Linked DNA regions of Drosophila melanogaster. The protein of the gene in region 1 interacts with the protein of each later gene in a pairwise test. Each region holds a gene or a part of one and is shown on either strand. Other genes may lie near its edges. The genes, in order: SLIRP2 and Leash.

The links.
Region 2: the proteins of SLIRP2 (region 1) and Leash interact in a two-hybrid assay, tested with the Drosophila melanogaster proteins (one large-scale study listed by BioGRID).

Annotation. Positions count from the first base shown.
Region 1 is NT_033777.3:8,649,325-8,652,070, forward strand, and holds SLIRP2 (SRA stem-loop interacting RNA binding protein 2), read left to right. Parts: upstream 1-1,759; 5' UTR 1,760-1,792; coding exon 1,793-2,068; 3' UTR 2,069-2,169; downstream 2,170-2,746. Other genes in the region: Mkk4 (MAP kinase kinase 4), read right to left, coding at 1-95, 154-995, 1,157-1,187; Dhod (dihydroorotate dehydrogenase), read right to left, coding at 2,189-2,746.
Region 2 is NT_033777.3:10,883,492-10,888,688, forward strand, and holds the start of Leash (leash), read left to right. Parts: upstream 1-2,048; 5' UTR 2,049-2,481; coding exon 2,482-2,596; intron 2,597-3,853; exon of another isoform or gene 3,854-4,168; coding exon of another isoform or gene 4,169-4,819; exon of another isoform or gene 4,820-4,852; intron 4,853-5,197. Other genes in the region: CG14696 (uncharacterized protein), read right to left, coding at 56-423, 1,229-1,343; Ak3 (adenylate kinase 3), read right to left, coding at 4,169-4,819.

The DNA.
Region 1 (2,746 bases):
TTACCAGTCGCCACCTCCATTAATGTGATGCCCAATGACCAAACATCGCTTCGTACATCGTAGCCCTTGGCACGTTCTGGATCAATGCGCTCCGGCTGCACAAATGCATACAATTGCGGTAAAAATGTTGTGAAATCAAATGACAATCATTACCGCCATGTAGGGCCTGCAGCCCGCATCCTTGGTCTTGGCAATAGAGTCGACCAGCTGACCCGAAATACCAAAATCGCACAGCTTTATGTCTCCGCGACGGTGCAACAGAATGTTGCTCGGTTTCACATCCCGATGGATAATCTTTAGCTCCTCCTTCAAATAGTTCAGCGCATTGACCGTGGCCACTGTTATCTTAGCCAGTATAGACTCTGGAATGTGGCGCTGCTGCTTTTCGTAGATGTACTTGTAAAACTTGTCCAAAGAGGTGTCCATCAGCTCCATACAAATCCAGCAGTCACCCTCCTTGAAAAGCGCCCCATAGAACTGAACAATGTAAATGCACTCGTTGGACTTCATGACCACCTCGAGATCCATGAGCAGCTGCTTCTGTTCCTTCTCGTCTACGGTGGATCGAATGCGCTTGACGGCCATCACCTTGTCCAATTTCTTAAAGGTCATCTTGTTGACTGCCCCAAATGCACCGCGTCCAATTTCGCCCTCATCCTCGAGATCGTCTGAAGTAAATGTGTGTGTATTAGCGCCGCCCTCACCAAACTGTAGCTTGCCACAGGCCTGCTGGCGAATTCGCTCCCGGTGACGATCGGCAGCGCTGCTGCTCGATGCTGCCGGCACCGGTGGCACTTGACTGCTGGCCACCGGCGGGGTTTGCTGTGGCTGCTGGGCACCAAAACAGCGGGTCACATGGTTGTGCTGTGATGAGGAACTTGAGCCCGAGGAGGTGGATCCCGAAGAAGTGGACGACGTGGACGAGGGCGGATGGCGTATGCTAAGATTATTCAGGCTTAGCTGATCCGGGGGATTGCGGGAGCGACTGGATCCGGCTGGAATGTGTGGGAAATGGGAGAATTTAGGAGGCTTCATAGATGGCTTATCGCCGCTGCACCAGATTTCCAAACTATGCGTCACCCAGCGAGTATGTGGTCCTCTTCGGCTGCATGTGTATGACCTGCGTGGGCGGTTCGAGACCAAAGGGGTAACTCACTTGCAAACAAATTTTTCGGTCGTTCGGCCATTGTGTGTGGTGGCTGAAAGTATCGATGCGCCTTTGTGTGGCTGTCCTAAGGATGTTTTGTCCGTTTTCTGCAGGCGCCGCGCCCCGAATACAACACGTCGACTTGATGCTCCTTTGGCCCTCCGATCGCCTGGTTACTGGGCCGCCTTTGATGGGCTCTTCGCCGTTTGCAACGCAACTACTTTTTCAGCAATCGAGCGCACTGATATGCACTTTTTCCGCAATTTCGCTAAACATTTACATAAATAGCAACCAAAACTTAAAAGAGCTAGAGATGAAACATTGATTATTTGCGGCCAATCGATAGCCATCGATAGTATGCGCACTAGCTTGCGATAAGCAGTCCTGCAAGGTGCAAAAGTAGTGAGGTGGGTAATAAAACGAATATAAAAATGTCACCTATAAATAATTATTTCTTTAAAACCAAGAGATTTGAGTTTCTATTTTTCACAAATTAATCCCAGCTTTGTTAAAGTTTTTACTAGTTGAAAAGTTACATTTCGTCAATAAGTGACGTCGACGCCTACATAAACCAATCTGCGCCACCTTAAAATCAATGCACAATCACCAGTGATTTAAAACCAGAAAATTAAAACATACATAATCATGTCCAGCGGATTTGTTCGCAGCAGCTACAAATTGTTCGTCGGCAACCTGCCATGGACGATAGGTAGCAAGGAACTGCGGACCTACTTCTCAAAGTACGGGCACGTGGCCAACGCGGAGGTGGTCTTTGACCGGCAACTGGGCCTGTCCAAGCACTATGGCTTTGTGGTTTTCAGCCAACGGGATGCCTTCAACAGCGCCAGCAACCAGAACACCCATTTCCTCGATGGACGAGTGCTCACAGTCCAGCGGGCGAATGAAAGTCCTCAGAGTTAATCAATGAAGAATTTAATGATTTATTGGTTAGACCAAAGGAAAAGCATGAGAAATGTTTGTTAACAGCTTAGTTTTACACAAATGAATGCAGCACTTGCTTCAAATCGTGGCATCTTTGATTCATTTGGGCAAGTAGAACTTGCTGTTGGTGCCCACCACGTCCGCAACATTAGTGTGACCCAGCCGTGTGATCAGCGCCGACAGCTCCGCCTTAATGTCTTCCACAAGAGCGGGTCCCTCGTACACTAAAGCCGTGTAGATTTGGACGTAGGAAGCTCCAGCTTCGATCTTTTCGTATGCATCATAGCCGGAAGCCACTCCGCCGACGCCTATGATGGGAATCTTTCCATCGGTGAGCTGGTACATCTGGGCGATCATCTCTGTGGAGCGGGCCTTGAGTGGAGGACCACTTAATCCGCCAGTTTCCTCGGCCAGCTTGTTCTTTTCGATGTTTTCCCGCGACACCGTGGTGTTTGAAACGATCAGGCCATCCACGCGGCTCTTCTTGCGCTTGATTACCCACACGATGTCCTTCATGTCGTCCAAAGATAGATCCGGCGAAAGTTTCAAGAGTATAGGCACATTCTTGTTCTTATCCAGGGAGGATTTCGTGTCGTTGACCTGTTCCAGGAGCTCTCTTAGCTTCTCCTTGCTCTGCATATCGCGCAGGCCCTTGGT
Region 2 (5,197 bases), 2.2 Mb from region 1:
GGGAAGTGCGCTTCATAAGGTTATTCAGTTTGGAAGAACAACCAAGACTACATACCTTATACTCGAGCCGCCTATTAAGATCATGTGGCAGGATCACCGTGAAGCACTGCTTAAATGTGTTGTTGTAGCGAACCGCGCGATCGATGGTTAGGGTAACCTCGTGCTTAATCTGACCATGAGCACCATTGAATGAGGTGGGTGCATTGGGCGGAATGGTAGCCCGGAAGGGAAAGACGTACTTGCCGGTGGGCAACTCCAGCTGCGAGCCACCGGCCTGGCCGTAAACCGGCTGGTCAGTGCTGTAGTAGACCTCGGTGGTGGTGTGGGTCACCAGGGACTTGGTCGTCTTCCCATCCTCTCCCACTCGCTCCTCGCTTTCCTGCCAACGCGTCTCGCCGTATCCATTTATGGTTATAAAGATCGCTGCAATTGGATTAATTTGTCTGTACTGCCGGGTATGTAATTCAATTATGCATTTAGTTTAATTGCCATTGACCTTGGACCTTTTGTGTGTTTCGGATGTAGAATTGTATTGGAAAATTGCTCAGCTACAAACAACTGTCTTTGTTAATGAACTAACAATAATTTAATCAGAAGCATAAAAAAAACGAATGCTACCTAATAAAGTTCACCATCAAATTAAAGCGCTGCTAAGGCTCGACTATTTGATACCCTAGGAAATATTTGATTATTTGAATTTGAACCGATGGCTAGGGTCCACTTAGCTTGCTAATGGGATTTGTATAAATTTATATATATATGTATATCTGCATGAATTACGCCTAATTGACCCAAAATGCTACCTATACACTACAATTTAAAGGTATTGGCACGAACGGGCTGACCAGTAACTGAATCAAATATCTAATAATACAAACAGCGTACGCAATTTCAAAACAAAACTAGTTTTTACGCCGCTATCAGATATCCGCCAGCCAGCCAAGCGGCCACATGTGTGTTGTATATAAACTTTATGTATACATACATATATGTACATTTGTATATACAATACACATCTTTCAAGCATATCTACCGGCAACAATAACATTAAACCAGCGGATAACAAAGCACCAACAATATTAAGTGGATATTTATTTATTAGTGGATGGTAAAACGGTATGGGATTCAGAATTTGAATGGTGATGGAGGGGGATGACGTCATGGTTTCGAGTCCATTAGAATACATATGTATGTAGTGCGTCTTCTTCCGCATGTCGGTGTCACTTACATCGAATCGTCTTGGGGCGCTCCGTAATCAGTTCCGCCGTGCCGGAGATAAGCTGACCGGCTTGATAGAGCCCCAAAGGATTGCTGTCGAAGACGAAGTTCACCTTGCTGCTCATCCTGTCCAGAATTGGCTCCTTGGCGACGGTGTCGGGTGGTATCGCGCTATCAAGTTCCTTTGTTTGTTTTATTGATAGTTGGTGGAAGAGGTAGGGATTCGATGTATTCGAGGGTTCCGGCGACTCAGCTCGCAAGCTCCGAACGCGAGCAGCTCTGGCTTAATACTGAATTCTCAAAAGTCTTTGGTGAGACCGAAGAACCGAGAAGCAAACTTTTGTGCGCGAGAGGTTACAAGAAGAAGAAGCGAAGGACAGAACGGGGAAGCACACGAAATACTATATGGAGCATTATGCTGCTAAGCCAACTAAAGTTTAATCTTAATAAAATATGTATGTATGCTTCAATCATCGCTGACATCTAAGCTGAGCGTTTTGTTATCTATACAGTAAAATATTTGGTAATTATTATTCGTAGTGAAATATATCAACTTAAATTATTGGCGATATTCAAACAGAGAGTTTCTTCTTCTCTTTTCAAACATCAAACCATAAAAAAAGACCATTACTACCAAGCATTTCTGAACTCTTGCATTACAACTGAAAACAGTGCATTTAAGAAACGCTGTTTAGAACTTAAACTTTAAATTAGACACATTTGAAAATACCGATTAAAAAGTCTGCGAATTAACCGCTTCAGCTGGCCAGGCGCCCGGTGGCAGCACCGCGCAACAGCTGTTCGTGCTATCGGACCGCCGCTCTCACGGTTATCGAAAGAGAGCTGCAGCTACAACAAAAAAGCGTAACTCACGGATCTCGTAAATTTATAAGAAATTTAATTATTCAACCCGCCAGCGGACGACAGCAATCGAATTAAATTAGCCCGGGGTGTGCGACCAACACTTGTGGGCCATTGCGAATTGATGGATATCGAGATTCCCCAAGAACTGGCCACAATCAGCGCGAAAAAGCTCCCACTCACCGCGCGGTGTGTGTAGTAACATCAAATCGTAAATCGTGAGGCGAGTGCGTGTGGTGGTGCTACTATTCTGCATATACTTTAGGGTGGTGCGGGCCGTGGTGCTGCAGTGCATCCATGTACGTTTGTATGTGGCGGCATTTTGATGACGAAATTATTTTTGGATAAGTGCGTGAGGAAAGTGGCCAAACCGGAGGAGTCATCACCATCAACGCCAGCGGAATGGAAAGCGAGCGGCTGCGAATCACGCTGGACAGCGCGGATCGGGTTTACTTTGCGGGCGACATAATTCGCGGCGAGATCTGGATGAACGTCAACAAGCGCACCAAAATACGCGGTAAGTGCCAGTCGAGCATAACTTGCCGCTTCCTGGAATGCACATCTCAAAGCTCGGCTTGCATCATCCATGACTCAGCTGTAGACACGCAGAGAAAGTGTTTCAAAACCCTACATTTAACGTTAGGCTCTTAGTTTATGATTCTGGGTATTGTTTACATGTGTACATATAGATCGTATTACCGAAAAGATTTAGCTTAGATATAGTAATCTAATATTAACAAAGATGGTTTTCTGCACAACCCATCATGTACTCCACAAATAGAAATGTGCTTTTTTCTGTTTTGTCAGCGGTTTGCAATCCATTGTCCGCCCGATGGTCAGCTGGACTTTCGTTGCGGCCCCATTCGCATAAACAAAGAACTCCATCAGTTAACAAAGCACAGCGGCCATTTTATGGGGCTTCCTCCCCCTCCGCTTCACCGCAATTTCGAGATTCTTGCTCGCAAATTCCTCTAATTGCCTTCGGCGCTCGCCTTTCATTCATCGATAAGCTTTCAATTGCCGCCCGTTGCAATTGCAATTGAATTTCTTTTCGTTCTTCACGATTCTTGAGTACTGGCATTTGTTTCAGGAAATGCCAACCCAAACGCATCGCGCGAGAGGGGAGTGTAGACGGTGGGGGCATGTGCGAAGAGAGGCACACTCAGTTGGCGTGCCGAAAAAGCCGTAATATTGGGCCAAGCGCAAGTCGGGTCTAAATGAGAGAGAGGTGAGAGGGCGCTCGCAGCACAGTGGTGGCCACAAAGGGGTTTATATAGGTTTTTTTTTTTAATTATCCAGAAATAAGATTCCCAGTAATGGTATATTCCGAAGTATAGTGTTTAAAAGGCAAACAGCTATCTCCATTTTATTATGAAGTATACCTTTAAAACAATAAGTGGTTTATTGAATTTTTTATAAATGACTTAAAGAATTTTAAATCTGACATAATTGGGCGCCCTTGACTGTACAAGCGCCTCTCTGTTGTGATTTGCCACTATACAGGTGTGCGTGAGAACAGCAGCTGGTCCGTGCATGTGTGAGTAAGAGAGCGCGAGACTAAACGGGAGCGCCACACTATCCCATATTTTTTAGAAATTAATGCGCTACGCGATAAAATGAAGGGCATTTGGGTGTCATGAGGTGAAGCTAAAAGTGTTGGCTTCACGCATGGGGCCAAGGGTTTGTGGACATTGCCTAAAAATAGATCGACGGCTGTCCGTTAACTGCCCAAAAGTCAAAGTCGGCTGTTATCAGCGCATATATATATATATTTATATATATAAAAAACGCGATTTATTATCAGAGCACAGAATACGAGTACAAAAATATGTTTATACAAAAAAGGGGGGAGCTGCAAGACATGCTCATGAGGGGAATGATATCTGTGGAAGAAGGAATACATGACAGCTGCTACTGTGTAAGGCTTCGCAATTACATTAATTATACGCCTGTTCCTCTTAACCGGCCCACAAACATACATATTTCATACGTATTCATTTATATATATCTAAATATATTATGCACTTAATTGAACACAGCAGTTTATCGTTAGTTTGTGCACATTGGATGTAATTTCGGGGTTGCTCCATTACGCATTTATGCGGTCGTTGAGGAAAAGCTCCATCATCGGCCAGATCTCCTTTGTCTGTTTTCCCTTGAAAGTGGCAACCAGACCCTTCTTTTCGTACCAGGCTATTACCGGGCTCATCACCTCATCGTAGAGCTCCAGTCGCTTGGCCACCACATGGGGTTTATCATCTTCGCGTTGCATCAGCGGCTCCCCCGTCACATCATCTTTGCCAGGCACTTTGGGATTCTTGAAGCCAATATTGTACACCCTGCCGGAGGGCGCATGGATCCAGCGATTCTTGACCCGGTCGATAATCACACTATGTGGAACGTCCAGCGTGATCACGGCATCGATTTGCTCGCGTGCAGCCAGTGCCTCGGCCTGGGCTATATTGCGCGGGAATCCGTCTAGGATGTACGACCTGTTGCCTACCTCGGTTATCCGGGCCAGCATCGTCTTGGTCACAATCGCGTCGGGCACCAGTTTACCTTCAGCAATGTACTGCTTGGCCTTTTTTCCAAGTTCTGTGTTTTTTATGATGTTCTGGCGCAGAATGTCCCCCGTGGAGATGTGCACACATCCATGGTTCTTGCAGATCAATTCCGAAATAGTTCCTTTGCCCGAGCCGGGGGCTCCGATTATCACAGCGCGAAAGATTTTCGTAAACATGTCTAAGCTCTAGTTCTTCAACCTCTCCTTGAGCTGCAAGACAAAAAATTGAATTGATACATGGTTAAATTTAATATGATATGATAAAAAAATTCGGTTTATCTATTTAATATAGGATCTGTTTTTATATTTTGATTTAGGGTCAATAACATATAATCTTGGCAGTAAAACCAAAATTATTTCAGTTGACCATACTCGACTACTTTTATGGGCGATAAGACTATCAAGCACGCCACAATTGTTTGATACAGAGGTGATGAAGGTCATAGTTTTCGCTAAAGCTTATGTGTTTTATGTGTGACTAATCACGGGAATCCAACCAATGATTCCATTCAATTTGTGAGCGAACACGGCAATAAAGAGTGGGTAAATATAACA